Pelodiscus sinensis: one gene and its partner. The protein of the gene in region 1 binds, or shares a complex with, the protein of each later gene. Links are inferred from orthologs where the notes say so. Each region holds a gene or a part of one and is shown in the gene's direction. Other genes may lie near its edges.

Region 1 (8,094 bases):
TTTAAACTCTGTTAAAGTCCTGGTCTTCACAACATCCTCTGGCAAGGAGTTCCGCAGGTTCGCTGTGCGCGGTGTGAAGAAATACTTCTTTTGGTTTGTTTTAAACCTGCTACCTATTAGTTTCATTTGGTGACCCCTAGTTCTTGTGTTACGGGAACAAGTCAGTAACTTTTCCTTATTCACTTTCTCCACACCAGTCATGATTTTATAGACCTCCATCATACTCCCCTCTTAATCTCCTCTTTTCTAAGATGAAAAATCTCTGTCTTTTTCATCTCTCTTCATATGGCAGCTGCTCCAAACCTCAACCATTTTTGTTGCCCTTTTCTGAACTTTTTCCAATGCCAATATATTTTTTTTAGATGAGGCAACCACATTTGTACGCAGCATTCAAGATGTGGGCATACCATGGATTTATACAGAGGCAATAAGATGTTCTCTGTCTTATTCTCTATTTTTTTTTTAATTATTCCCAACATTCTGTTTGCTTTTTTGACTACTGCTGCACGTTGAGTGGATATTTTCAGAGAACTATCCACAATGACTCTACAATCTCTCTGGAGTCGTAACAGCTAATTTAGTCCCCATCATTTTGTATGTGTAGTTGGGATTATGTTTTCCAATATGCATTACTTTGCATTTATCAACATTAAAATTAATTTGCCTTTTGCTGCCCAATCTCCTAGTTTTGTGAAATCCTTTTGAAGCTCTTCACAGTCTGCTTTGGTCTTAACTATTTTGAGCAGTTTAGTATCATCTACAAATGTTGCCCCCTCACTGTTTGCCCCTTTTTCCAGATCATTTATGAATATGTTGAATAGGACTGGCCCCAGTACAGACCCCTGTGGGACCCCACTAGTTACCTCACTCCATTCTGAAAACTGTCCATTATTCCTATCCTTTTTTTCCTATCTTTTAACCAGTTATCAAGCCCTGAGAGAACCTCCCCTCTTATCCCATGACAAGTTACTTAAGAACCTTTGGTGAGGGACCTTGTCAAAGGCTTCCTGGAACTCTAAGTACACTGTGCTCACTGGATCCCCCTTGTCCACATGCATCAGTACATGCATCTGACAAAGTGAGTCTTTGCCCATGAAAGCTTATGATCCAATAAATCTGTTAGGCTACGTCTACACTGGCCCCTTTTCCGGAAGGGGCATGTAAATTTCACCAGTCGTAGTAGGGAAATGCGCGGGGGATTTAAATATCCCCCGCGGCATTTAAATAAAAATGTCCGCCGCTTTTTTCCGGCTTTTAAAAAAGCCGGAAAAGAGCGTCTACACTGGCCCCGATCCTCCGGAAAAAGCGCCCTTTTCCGGAGGCTCTTATTCCTACTTCAAAGTAGGAATAAGAGCCTCCGGAAAAGGGCGCTTTTTCCGGAGGATCGGGGCCAGTGTAGACGCTCTTTTCCGGCTTTTTTAAAAGCCGGAAAAAAGCGGCGGACATTTTTATTTAAATGCCGCGGGGGATATTTAAATCCCCCGCGCATTTCCCTACTACGACTGGTGAAATTTACATGCCCCTTCCGGAAAAGGGGCCAGTGTAGACGTAGCCCAAGTCTATAAGGTGCCACAGGACGTGTTGTTGTTTATGCAGATTCAGATTAACATTGCTACCCTTCTGATACTTGTCCACATGCTTGTTGATGCCCACAAAGAACTCTAGTAGATTAGTAAGGCATGATTTCCCTTTACAGAAACCATGTTGACTTTTCCCAACAAACTATGTTCATCTATGTGTCTGACAATTCTATTCTTTACTATTGGTTAAACTAAGTTGCCTGGTACTGACATCAGACTTATTTTATACCCAATACTTGCTTTTTTGGTTAACTAAATATTTTCAGTACAGGAAGAATTTAAGGATGGCCTTCAAATCTTCCACTCTCCCCTAAAATAAGTACAGCAGAGAAGAATTTCAACCACATGACCATTCAAGGTCAAACCTATTACAACACACAAAAAACTCTTATGACTTAACAGCATTCATCATCATCCATATTCTCCAGCCACCAGTTGTGACTCGTTTAAACTATATTATAAAGTCTCTTTGGGACAAAGATAATCTTTTACTTTATATCTGCATCTAGCACTATGGGGCCCCAACCTGACTGTGGCTTCTAGACACCACTAACAAATAAAAAAGTAATTTTGACAAGTATGAAGAGCTGCCAGTTACTGAAGCGAGAGAAAGATTTAGTTCAATTTGCCTCTATAACATGACAGTAGGATCTCCCAAATCTGCAGATGAAGAGGTTTCTGATTAATCTGAACCGGAAGACAGAAAAAAGGCCTAAAACTCCTCCTAATGTTTCCTGTCCCAAAATATGAATATCATCAAGTGCACACATTTTACTTATCGCCTTATAGTTGGTATGAACCTTATTTTTCTGACAGCAAGAGCTATCAAAGCTCCAAAAGGAAGTGGTGAAAATCAAGTTTCTTGGCACACTAATAACCTAGACTGGACAGAAGTGTAGTTGATGTACAACAGTGAAGAGTTTTGCACCTGGACTAAGGGTATATTTACACTGGAAATGTTCAGCACTTCCACTGGAAAAAGTACTAGTGTAGTAGAAAAGGCATACGTGACCTAATAAATCGCCACACAGATGGTCTGAAAGTTTGTCAAATAAGCAAAAAGAGTTTAAAAAAGCGAATACAAAATAACAAGATACTATATAGTGTTTGGTTCATTTTACTTTCATGTCTTAAGCATTTTCATTTCTTCCCAATAATTGGTTTGTCCACTCCTGCCTTGGCATTCTACCCAATGATACACCTGAATACTGTAAAGTATGTTTATACAAAAGGATTAATGTTCTAGAAATGAAAACCAAGAAACAGTAACAGAGGGAAGTCTGTGAGATACTTAGTAGTCTTTGAGATGAAAGCTGTTCACAAAAGGGAACAATCCATGCATTGCTCATATAAAACACCTTGATATCTGAAGTACCTGAAATGTCTTTGGAATTCCTCCAACATTGTAGTGAACGACTAAACTCACTTTGTTGTCCTTCTCCACAATTTCAAAGCTTCCTTCTTTCCATTTTGTAATCCCAGTTTGCATGCTGCGCATCCGTACAGGCCCATGCACCTTCAGTGGAGCCATTTTTCTTGCAGATAAATAACTTAAAACAGTTGAACTAAATTTACTTCACTTTGAATCCTGTTAAAAATAAGAAAAATTAAAATTGGCAACTAGCAAATAAAAGTATCTGCATAAAGTGTAAAAATCAGGAACAGCATTTTTTGCAGGAGTCTAGAAAAAATAGAATACAGTAAATGAAATATGTATTAGGAAATCTTCCATAATTTGGCCAGCATTACTTTAAGCCAGTGGTCTCCAGACTCTTCAGGGTTCATGCTCCTTACCCAGACTGGGGGCAAAACTGTGGCTAAGGGGAGGAAATGTAGACAAAAGTAAGGAACCTGAGGCTGTGGTCACAGTTGGAGGCCAGACTCAGGGGCATGAGTAGAGCTGAGGCCTTGATGTGGGGAATGCCTCGCACCTTGGGGAACTCTGTTTTAATCCCTAAATATTTAACACTGAGTGAGATGACTCAGTACAAACAGTGAAAGATCTTGCAAGTCTAAGAATGACATTTACAGAGTTACCAAAACAAATTGATCTTGAGCTAAGAGCAAGCAGGGAAAGATGAGGGGGAAAAGACAACAAATTTTCCAAGAAACCATTTGGTTTCCAAAATTGGACAATAAAACCTCTAATGAGAAACTGACTTTTTATAATAAAATTTATTCTTTGTATTTGCAAGTTTTACTTATTGTCACCTCAACGTCACCTGTTTCTCTCTCTCAGCCACCTGTTGCATCTTGTCATTGATCTAGATTATCATCTTTTGGTTATAGATTGTGTTTTGATATTGGTACAGCACTTTGTACAACGAGACTCCAACTTGACTGAGGCTGCTAAGCAACGTTAATACAAATTACTAAAACAATGTGACAAATTACTCTTTAAATAATCCACATTTTGATAGGAACTGTCTGATTAAAACCAACGAAGGAAGGAAGCTTTGCATAGGATCACACACACAGCCCTTTTCTATTTAACTTTTGAGGGGGATGCAGTTCAATACAAGCTAGGGACACGCAAGCGACAATCACCAGGCAGCAGGGCTCGCAATGGTTCAAGTGCGAAGGGCGTTTCTTTCGGGGCAGTGAGCGGGTGCACGGCAGAGTCCGGGGAAGGGGAGGCCGTTCCTGCACAGGCCGAGAAGCGGCATCACAGGCCCGTGCCCAGGGCAGGGCGGCTCTGCGGGGCGAGCCCGACAGGCACAGGGGCCAGCTGGGTCCCCGCGCGCTCAGAGCGCCACACCGCGCACGTGCCGCGCCCCGCGCGCTCACCGGCAAAACCCACCGGGGGGGGCGGGGGGGAGACGGGGCAGCGGTCACGTGGGGGCAGCCCAGCGCGAGGGGCACCTGTGGCGCGCGCGGAGGGCAGCGGGCCCCAGGGACTGAGCAGCGCGCGGCCGGGCTCTGCCCCCCCCCCGGGGCTCTGCCCCGCGCGCCGGGGGGGGGGGGAGAGTGACCCACTCGCCCCGCCCCCCCACCTGCCGTGCCCGGACAGCGCCCCGCCCGGGCGGGGGAAGGGCTCGGCCGGGCTGACCGGGGGCTCTCGCGGCTGCAGGCGGCCGGAGGGGGAGGGGGCAGCTGAGGGGGCCCGTGGGGGCGGGGGCCGCGGCTCGCTACCTGCCGCTCGGGTCCCGCGAGGCCCCGCCGGGCGCTGCGCTCGCTCCTCAGGGAGGCAGATGGCGGGAAGCGGGCAGCCGCGCGAGACGCCCCGCGCGAGACGCGGCACGTACGGCACGCGCGCGCGGTGGCGTCACGGCGCTGCGCGCAGGCTCGCCGCGGGCCCTCCGCCGCCCCGCAGAGCGCGCCCTGCTCGCCCACAAGCCGCCGCGCGCAGGCGCCTCACCCTCCCCCCCCCCGGCGCGGAGCACGTGACGGGGTGAGAGGGCGGAGGGCAGGGGTCAGGGCGGCGCGCAGGCGGCCTGGGCCCCATGGCGACGGCAGCGGCCTCCTGATCCCGGGCCCGGGCGGCGGCGGCTCCGAACATGCACAGCCTGGCCACGGCCGCGGTGAGTCCCCCCGCCCCCCCCCTCCGGCCGGGCCCCTGCGGGCAGCGACGCGGGGCCGGGGGGGCTCCCCGCGGGCGGGCCCGGGCACAGACCCCGCCCCCCCGGCGGGCTTCAAAACGGCGGCAGCACGAGGCGGCGCTTCCCGCACGGGCGGAGTCGCTGCGGGCCGGAGGGGCCTGGAGATCCGCCCGGCCCGGCCCTCGTGGCGGCCCCGCGCCCCCCGCAGCCTCCCCTGCGGCCAGGGAAGCCCCGAGCCTCCGGCCTGGCCCAGGGCCCCTCCCCCTCCCCTAGCCGCTCTGGACAGCTGGTGCCCTGCCCAGCTCGGTCTCCCCTAGCCCGGACTCCACATCGCGCCGCCGCGCAGTGAGTCAGGAGCGCGCGAAATGGTGAAACGGCGGCGGGGTCGCGGTTTTCATGGGTCCTTTCAAACCGTGCGAGGGGGCTGAGGGCGCCTTTGAACAAGTCTCCCAGAGCTTTGACAAACCAGGACTAGGCAGCACTTTACAGACTCACAGGATGGTTTATTAGATGATGAGCTTTCGTGGGCCAGACCCACTTCCTCAGATCAAAGAGTGGAAGAAAATTGTCAGAACCATAGATACCAAAGGGTTGTGACAATTTTCTTCCACTATTTGATCTGAGGAAGTGGGTCTGGCCCACCAAAGCTCATCACCTAATAAACCATCTTGTGAGTCTTTATACTGCTGCATAGCCTGGTGTAGCTGAAACAAAGAACAGGACTAACACGGCTACATTTCTATCACTATCCCATAGCTTTGTGCGCTGTGATCGAATATACTTCAGGTTCATTCTCCTGCTATTTACATTTGGTAAATGCAGCTGTCTGCAGGGGGGGGCTGCACTACACAACGCTATCCTTGGTTGAGCAAGGTGGAGCACTGGCCTTTTACGACGAGACCACCAGTACAGTCTGTATTTAGAGTGCTAATCTGAAAAGAACATAACGTAACAAAGGGGAGGTCCAGAGAATGGAGCAAACACAATAAAAACAGACAACTTGATATAGAAGCATGAGCGTGAACTTACAAATCAGTCAGTGCCTTGCAATATTGTTGTTAAATAAAGGCTTCATATTGGTGTTACCGTGTTGAAAATCTAACAATATAGGCAGAAAATAGACAATTGTATGTATGTATTGATGTTTTTACCTAGAATGCTTCAAGGCAGTTGCCAGTTGGAGACTGTTTCTTAAATTATGTAAAATCAAATCTGCTATGTAATAGGGATGTAAGCGACTAGCCTGGCAGCTCTTAATACATTTAAAAGGCAGAGCCGCAGTGGGATTAGCTGCCCGGGGCCGGGAGCTAACCCCATTGCAGCTCTGCAGTCCCGCCCCCCCCATCAACTAATCGACTAGTTGATTAAGTGCAATTTACATCCTTATTATGTAATAGTCAGAGTTGCAGTTTGGCAGACACTGTGTCCTGAGCTCTTCAGTGATCCACAAATGGTCAGTGTGTATGGTGTTTTAAAACAGCTATGACCTCACTCTTGCATGCATGAAGCACAGCAGAGTGCATTAGTAAGATCAATATGTATCTGCAATGTTTGTGATATTTGGCATTACCCAAGATCCTAGGGAAGGAGAATGATACCTTCAGCCTTGAGAACAGCAGTTTAAAAATTAGATGATTTTATCAACAACCGCATGAAATATAGGTGGGATGTACAGAGAAAAATAACATCAGATGGGAATCTGTATGATCTGTGGGGAGAAATTTGATTCTTACTGAGGAAGGCACTGAACACTGTGGATGTATGCCTGCGTTGCTAAGGAGTGAGTGTATTTGAACTGTTAACGTGAACTGAAGCTTTCAATATGTCTAGTGAATTAGGCCTGAACGTATAGCTCTCCAAGAGCCTGCCATCATAAACAAACACAAAGTAGACTTTCCCATTTTCCCTGTATTTCTAAGCCCCCTTATAGGGAGTGCTAATAGGATTACACTTGTCACAGTTCACCATGCTCACGAAATATCCTGGCTTCAGGATCTGAAAAAGAATCTGGAAAACAGACAAGAGAGTCAGAGAAGGATTGATTTGAGGAAAGTTGAAGAGTTAAAATGTATGGCGAGCTTTGCAGGGCAGGGATCAAGTGTGGATAATACATCTATAGATCATCTGATGGCACTAAATAAATACTTTCCTAAGTTAATAAGAGCAAACAGTTAATAAGTCTACAGGTTCTTGATCCTATAAATACCAAAGGTGAGAGAGTTAGTTAGAATGTGCATGGTATATAATGGGATTGAATGGATGAAACAGAGGGAAAAATTTTCGAAATGTCAAGAAACACTTGCTGATATTGAGAAGCGAGTCTGTAGAATGGTATCCCAAAGACTTAGTCCCTAATATGCATCTCTAACCTCTACAGTTCGGTAAAGATTGATCCCAGTTGTATAGTTTCACTTCTAGTACTAGCTGGTTTCACTTCATAGTTCTTGAGCATGACGAATTGTAGAGGAGATTGCAAGGGAATACTTAAACCCAAATACACTGCAACTAGTTGGCTTAACGTTCAAGAAAATAGTCCTATTGAGATCTAGTTAAACCTAAATTTTGAGCTTAAACTACCAAGCTGCTACTTTACTTAGTGCAAGAGAATTTAGTTTATATCGCTGTTTTAAAGAGCATTTGAAAGATCATGAAACTTTGTTTTTAATGAAAGTTTAACTTCTCTGAAAAGGAAATCCCAGAGATCTTAAAATCCTGGGTTCCCCAGTGTGATTCTTTTATTTCTGAGACTTCACTGTCTGTGTTACCCTTTCACTGATTTTGTGGAGAAGGGGGATGGAAATAACTTTTAAAACTGTCCTGCTTAATCTTAAAAAGATTTTTTGAGTGTAGGTACAGATTTACCCTTCTCGGTTGTAGTCTGGGAAGAATTTTTCTCACAAAGCAAAGTATCAGGGAGTTCCCTTTGAGAGAGATACTTAGGGAAGTGGCTGAGGTTCTTGGGAACACAAGCAAGA
Region 2 (7,519 bases), on another chromosome or scaffold:
CCAGAGCAGCCAATTGTGGAAAGGCAGGAGAGGCAGTGGTCCTCACAACACCCCGCCAATGGGGCCAAGTGAGGAAGCACCCGATATGGGGGGAAGATATACAAAGCAGAGCACACAGGGCTGGGGAGGCATCACCTAGACTAGGGCTCATGAGGGGAGAGACTAGGCTGGGTGCTGAATGGGAGGTGCACGGGCAAATTGGGATGGGGGGACAGAGTGGTGGCTAAGTGGGAGTACAGGGACACATGGGAATGGGTGTGTGTGCAGGGACTAGGAATGTAAAATCCCATTTAATCAGTTTACCAGTTAAATGTGAGGTTTAACTGGTTTTAAGTGGGATCCCAGGTGGGGGACTGTCCCATCCCGGCTGAAGCAGCCCCCATCCCACAGGGCTGTCAGCTCTGTGGGCTGCTTCTACCTGGGCCCCACACGGGGCTCCTGGCTTCACGTGAGGCTGCCAGCTCTCACCCCAGTCTGCAGCGAGTGGACCTGGCAGGGCTGGAGTAGCCCTCCACCCGCAGTGGGCCATTAGCAGCTCCCAGGCTCCGGTTAACCGTTATCTTGTAAGCCTCACCCAGTTATCCATTCACATCCATAGCAGGGAAACATGAGGCTTGGAGAGGAGGGGTTGTTGAGAGGGAGTGAAGGGACAGATGGGGATGGGCAAATATGTCTGAATGAATAGGAGAGTTGAGGGGTCAACTAGGGTCTACATGGAGGAGGCTCCCCAATTCCCTAACGCTCCCCCTCCCAAATAAAAAACTATTAGGCAATTCCCAGCCATTACTTCCCTCTCCTTTAACTCCTCCATTACCCCTCACTCCCTCAAGCCTTTGAGCTGCTTCTGAGGGACGCGGGAAATACATTTCTATATTGTCGTTTAAATGAATTATTACTCAAAGCTCTTTATTAATGTACCTAGTAAGGAATCCATTTGTCAAAAAACATTTCCTTAATCTTCTTGTCTTTATTGTCGCAGACATAGTTGCTGACAGGTATTTTCAAATAAATTACCAAAAGAATTGAAACTGGTGTGATTGTTAATTTGACAAATAAAATATAGACAATTTTAAAATATTGTGCACATAACTTTTAATTTTTGGAACAGAATTTCCCCAGTAGTACATAGAGCATTAATGTATAACTCGTGCAACTTAAAGGCTATATGCTGCAGCTGAGAAAGCAAAAAGGGAATAAAAATAACTAATCTGGAAAGATAAGCTTTATATTCCTAATAGCCTCAATGATAAAGTTCAATAAATACTGAGTTACAAAAGCACCATTTCTTTGTTTGTGATAGAACGATGAACATATGCTGACACGGAAGAGGTCACTTACTGGAAAATGATAAATTACTTTCATAGTGCTTGGAAAGTTGTCTGTGTGAAGGGTTCAATCGTAGGCACTGACTTTTCTTTCTGTCAGTAGGTGTTTTTGAAGAGGAGTGTGCACTTGGGGAGATACCCTGTCAGTTTTGGGGGAGGCTATTTTCACAATATATTTAAACACTTTCATATTTTAATTATTGAATGTGCCTATTATTGGCATCTTTACTTTTGTAAGAATGATTCAATTATTATGAATTACATAATTAGATGATCATGAATTATTGTATATTAAAATTATTGCAATCACCTACATGTTGTCTTCACTAACATCCCAGTTTAAAGACATATCTCACTGTAGCTTTCCGGATAAAACTGCAAGCAATCTAATTTACATCTAGGTTCCCTGCTATTGTTTTGGTGCATGTTAAGGACGCTAAGAAATTATTCATTTGTGCCTATCCCATTGATGACTGGAGATAATTTTTAAGTGTTCTGAAGCTGCAGAACGAGTTCAGGATGATTCAGGCACAAAGAGAAAGATTCTATGAATCTGCAGTACTCTACAGCAAATGACTCCAAAATCTCTTTGTTGATGAGTAACAGCCAATTTAGGCACCAATATTTTGTCGGTATAGTAGGAATGATATTTTACTACATGCATTACTTTGCATGTAACATAGAAGTTCAACTGTCACTTTGTTGCTAAGTCACCCAATTTTGTGAGATCCCTTTGGAATTCTTTGATGTCTGTTTTAGACTTAGCTATCTTGAGTAATTTTGTATCATCTGTAAACTTTGGCACCTCAGTTGATCCTTTCTGAAGATCATTTTTGGATATGCTGAATACCACGGGTCTCAGTACAAGCTCCTTGGGGACACCACTCTTTATCTTTCTGAGAATGGATTATTTATTCCTATGGTTTGTTTCCTGTCTTTTAACTGGAGTACATGAGACTGCTTTCAGGATCATCTAATGATTCTTAATTAATGACAAGCGTTTTGTTATCTTAATCATCCTGTTCTGTATATAAACAAACTCCCTGCCCCAAGGGCAGAGGTTGTTAGCAGCACAGAACTCATCACATTCCACAATCCAGCTCTGGTCCTGGGTACTGAGCATCCACTATTTTTTTTGGGTGGGTGTCTGAGCCCTGGAGCACCCATAGAGTCGCCCCTATTGGTAGGATGAAAGGACAGGGATACTGAAATAAATCTGATATGTGAAATGAAACGAGTTCCAAAAACCTGTCTAACCAAGGCACCAAACCAAGATTCAGTAGAATGAAAGAAGTCACCTAACCCTGAATTATGGGAAGAGAACAACCTCTGAAGCAGAGCATCTACTTTCATGTTTTGTAAAAAACCTTGGGACCTGTCAGTCAAGGGCTTCTTCTCCTTTAGTAAAGCCAGATGCAGACAGGCAGGTATCTCCCTCCCTCAGATGCAGACCCCTGAGAATCACTTCAGAGCAGCAAAACCAGAGGCAAAGTGGAGGGCATAGTCCTCATGGACAGGAATTACGCTTCAGCATCTGATCTGCTGGGGATGCGTGTTAGTGATGCGCCAATTAACTGTGGCAGGCTAGGGTTGGGCCTGTAGTCTCCAAGGAATCCTGGCATAGACAGCGATACCCTAGCCAGAGTGAAGTCTTCCGTAGCTATTGGTTGTGATTAGATCTGAACGGGTTGTCCTGAGTCTAGCTCCTAAGAGTAGTGGGAAGGCTCATCACACCCTGTTATTTCTGAAACATACACAGCAATAACCTGGACAAAACTTATTGAATTAACTTTAGATACCTTAAGAGTTCATTGTATTAAAATTGCAACTGTTTATGTTAAAATTATGGGCCAAACAAGATTGAATTTTTAGTTAAATGTGTTTCCTTGAAAATACTTAGGAAGAGAGGAAGGCAAATTACCCACCTCTAGACCCAGTCTTTTGAAACTGCACCCTGAGGATGCGACTTTTTTTTCCTGATCACCTTTTTCGTGAGGACAAGAACAGAGGCCTAACCTGTATAATGGCATGACTCACAGAGATGCTTGTTCTGGGTTCAAAGCTGTTACACGTTTGTGATCACAGAAAATCCCCTTGGTGGGATGTAAGAGACTGATCAGCTTGGATGTAGGGAGCCTTTGCTGGGAGAGGGCAGGCGAGCTGATTGTCACGTGAGAAGACTCTTGTTTCTGTATGATACTTTTCATTTTACGAATACATGTACCTGCTCAGAGGAAAGACCACAGAGCTGTTCTGGCACAAACCCAAGTCAGCAAGGAGGGTTTTTACCTGGACAGGCGTCCCCAGGCGTGCTTGGGAACTCAGTCTAGATGGGCGCGGCGCAGCCTGGACCATCCCAGTCAGAAGAAGCAAGGCAGGTCTGTGCCCAAGGGGGCAATGGCTGCAAGCTGGGAGCCTAATGTGGGTACCCGGGGGGGGGGTTGCCCCAAAGGGAGAAAGGGGGGGACTGAGTCCTGCCACCCCAAAGATCCCAACTGGACTGGGGGGGAAGTAGGAGCTGGGGGGTGGGCCGGCTTGTGTCAGCCCCGGGGCCCGGCTAGGAGCGGGGGGGGGGGGGGGTCCCGTCAGCCCCGGGGCCCGGCTAGGAGCGGGGGGGGGGTCCCGTCAGCCCCGGGGCCCGGCTAGGAGCGGGGGGGGGGTCCCGTCAGCCCCGGGGCCCGGCTGGGAGCGGGGGGGGGTCCCTGGCTGGGAGCGGGGGGGGTCCCCGTCAGCCCCGGGGCCTGGGGTCCGTAGGGGGTGGAGAGCGGGCCCGGCTGGGAGCCGGTGGCCCCGTTTCGCCTCTTGCGGCCAGCCGGGCGCAGGGAGCCGGCTCCCCCCGGCACCGCTCTGTCCCCCCCGCCCATGGGCTCGCCCGTTCCGCCGGCCGTTAACGGCTGGAGAACGGCATTGCTCCCCCCCCTCCCTTGCGCCGGCGCACTTCGAACCAGACGCCCCGCCCCTTTGTCCCGCGCCCGCGGGCAGCCTATCACCCCGCCGCACCCAGCGCTTCCCGCGGGAAGGGGGCTGCGCGCACGCGCCGTCTGGGCCTCCGTCCTGCTCCACCGGCGCGTGCACTCTCGCGAGAGCGGGGGGACAGGCCGGAAATCCTGACGCGGCCTGGCGGTGGTGTGGCTGCGCGGGAGAGGTCCGCCAGCCCGCCTGACGGGGGGAGGGCGGGAAGGAGCAGACGAGCAGCGGCCCCGCGAGCGGCTAGAGCGGCCCCGCTTCCCCCTCCACGCCCCGGCCCGCGCCCTCTGTGCGCCTGTGAGGAGACGGCCCTGGCGGAGAGAGCAGGTGCCGTGGGGAGGCCCCGTTATACACCCCCGGCGGGAGCGGGAGCGGGGGGGGGGGAAGGGCGGGATTAGGGGGGAGCAGGGGAGGGGGTCTGAGGATGGAAGGGGGAGGGGACTTGAGGAAGGGGGGGTGGAAGAGTGCAAGGGGGTCTGGAGAAGGGGGAGGGGAGAGTGCAAGGGGGAGCGGGTCTGGGGGAGGGGGTCTGGAGAAGGGGGGGTGGGAGAGTGCAAGGGGGAGGGGGTCCTCAGGAAGGGAGGCCCTGAGGGGGGTGAAAGGGGAAGGAATAGGAAAGGCTGCAGTGGGGAGCAGAACCCAAGAGACCCCATGGCTATTGAGGGTGCAGTCAGTGGGGGGCATTGGGATGCAGAAAGTTGCCCATGGATTATTTTTGTGGCTTTTTATTTCTGTTGTGAGAAATGTAACTTCCGCTTCCTGAAGGAAGGTGGAAAGTCGCTGGTAGTTATTTCACTGCCCTCCTGTGGCCTGATTCAGCCCCTTCTCTTAAAGAAGGATTTACCTGTCCCTTCATGAGACAGTCCCAGGCAAAGAGCAACTGCTTGCTGCTGGATAATTTCGTGGAAGCCTTGTTCCCTTCCCAGATCACAGGTGTGCCCTCTTTCTCGAGAACAGTAGCATTCAGACTTCTTGCAGTGTGAATCTGCCACCAGTCAGAAGTAGATGTAGACTTCAGCTTTGCCTGTGTATCCCATTCCTGAGTTGCCCACAAATCCTTGGAGGCTTGATTGGGGCTGCCAACAAGTATGCCATTTATGTGGAGACCTGCCCACTAATAATTAGCCATGGATAGTATCTCATCTTTTAAAGGCTGCCAACAAGCCAAAGTTTCAACACCATAATTACAAGGGTGGTATATTTCCCCTTCTATGTATCACGGCATTAAAAGAATTCTGGGAAAGCTAGAGTTGGCAAGAACCGAAAGGCCTACACTGATGACATTAAACTTAAAAACAGTAGTTCCTTGACAGGTAAAACAATATTGATCAGTATCTGCTTTTATAAAGCTTTTGATGGACTGTTTGGCTTCACTGCAGCTTCTGTAAATAACTCTAGATGCTTTGCATGTTGTTTCTAGGTATAATATTGGTTCTCGTCTACCCCTGGTTTTCATACTGCTTTAACTATCAGCATAATCCCCTTAGGGAGTGCAGTTATACCAATGTATTTTGTCTCATAAATGTATTAGAATAATCTTAACTGTTAATACTGTCCACACAAGTGGTTGTACTGATGTAATATTATCAGCATACAACCACAATCCTTAATGGAATAGTTAAACTTCTGCAAAATCTTTGTAGAACAGGTCTTGGGGAATTGAAACAGAGCAGCACACATCTTACAAATAACAGTGTAGTAAGAAGCTATTTATTCTCACTTTCTAGCCCTAAGAGAAAAACACTGTAGCAAAAGCAATACTAAATTAAGGTATTAGTTCTAAGACTGATAAACTGGGTTTAATGAGTTAATTGAGTAGTGGATTAGGAATTTCCATTGACTATTTGATTAGTCGTTAAAGGGGGCAACGGCAGAGCTGCAGCACGGTTAGCTCCCTGCCCTGGGAGCTGCCCGGCTCTTACTACATTTAAAAGGCAGACCTGCAGCGGGGGACTGGGTGCGAGCCGGGACAGCTGAGTCCTGGCTTGCGCCCATTTGCCTGCTGCACCTCTGCCTCCCCTGCAAAGATGGTGCTGGGGGGGAACCTGCTTTTAAGCTGGCTCCCCCCAGCACTGGCTCCTGTTCCCCCCCCCCCCCATTGCTGCCTCTGATAGAGGCAGCAACAGGGGGGAGTAGTGACTCCACTAGTCACTTACATCCCTAATTAGTTTTCTTTAGGTTTGCAAAAATAGGCCTTATACTTGAAGTGTGCAGACTTGTTTCAGTTGGACTTAGTAATCCTGGATATCTTCTGCCAATTTAAAACAGAAGTTTACTGCATATTACAAAAATGTTCTAAAAGCAGAAAAGAATTTATTTTAATAACTCAGATATGCCAGCTGAAAGGGATACTCCAGACTAGAAACATTCCATACTAACTCACTGTCTGTATTTTTGTTCTGATTTGTTGAGATGTATTAATGCAAAGTAGCATGTTTGTGTGTGTTCACTGCGCTATGCCAGTTAGGTTTTACACTACCCTACTTACTTTCCAATTTTGATATTAGGTGCTTCTACTCCAATTCCTGCAAGATGCCAGCAGCACTTGTGGAGAACAGTCAGGTTATATGTGAAGTATGGGCAAACAATCTGGAAGAGGAGATGAGGAAAATTCGAGAAATAGTTCTCAGCTACAGCTACATTGCAATGGTAAATATGCTGTACTTCAGTGATCATCTGCTGACTAACCTGAGAATTTCAGTGTGGGTAGCTTACTCACTTATTCATAAATATAAGCATTCCAGGGTCCGTTTAAGCTGAATATTAAGGGGGAACAGTTGGAAAGAAGCTTGGCATTTAAAATTTTACATGACTTTTTAAAAATACATGGTCTTCTTCCAATATCTTGCTTAGAGTTTTTGTAGATTCTCTGAAATCACGTAAGTAGACAGTGCGGATTGAGGGCATGCTGAACAGATGAAATCTGTAAATACTTTTTTTGTTCATACAATAGAGTTTAAAAACATGCCTACTTGGTTCTAAGCTGTTTAATGTAGTTAGCATATTTTTAATTTGAATGGCAGGTTCATATTGGCTTCCTGCTGATATATGGCAACAGGCACACAAGTCACAACGTGTTAGCTAATAGGATTACTCTCTTTTTGTAATAAGGCAGCAGTGCCTGATCAGGAAAGAGAATGATTTTGGCTTGAGCCTGATTTTGACTTGTTCTGATAAATGTATAAAAGACCCAAGAATTTTGTTGACACACAGTTTTGGGAAGGGAA

Evidence for each region.
Region 2: CNOT9 (region 1) and CNOT8 share a complex: the UniProt entries of both Homo sapiens proteins name them as parts of the CCR4-NOT complex. The link is inferred for Pelodiscus sinensis from reciprocal best matches to the Homo sapiens genes CNOT9 and CNOT8.

Annotation. Positions count from the first base shown.
Region 1 is NC_134717.1:924,804-932,897, reverse strand, and holds the start of CNOT9 (CCR4-NOT transcription complex subunit 9), read left to right. Parts: upstream 1-4,949; 5' UTR 4,950-5,077; coding exon 5,078-5,101; intron 5,102-5,308; exon of another isoform or gene 5,309-5,464; intron 5,465-8,094. Other genes in the region: USP37 (ubiquitin carboxyl-terminal hydrolase 37), read right to left, coding at 2,956-3,111. UniProt on the Homo sapiens protein: Component of the CCR4-NOT complex which is one of the major cellular mRNA deadenylases and is linked to various cellular processes including bulk mRNA degradation, miRNA-mediated repression, translational repression during translational initiation and general transcription regulation.
Region 2 is NC_134727.1:38,148,412-38,155,930, forward strand, and holds the start of CNOT8 (CCR4-NOT transcription complex subunit 8), read left to right. Parts: upstream 1-4,387; 5' UTR 4,388-4,619; intron 4,620-5,218; 5' UTR 5,219-5,378; intron 5,379-5,507; exon of another isoform or gene 5,508-5,605; intron 5,606-6,799; 5' UTR 6,800-6,824; coding exon 6,825-6,941; intron 6,942-7,519. Other genes in the region: FAXDC2 (fatty acid hydroxylase domain-containing protein 2), read right to left, coding at 3,615-3,680. UniProt on the Homo sapiens protein: Has 3'-5' poly(A) exoribonuclease activity for synthetic poly(A) RNA substrate. Its function seems to be partially redundant with that of CNOT7.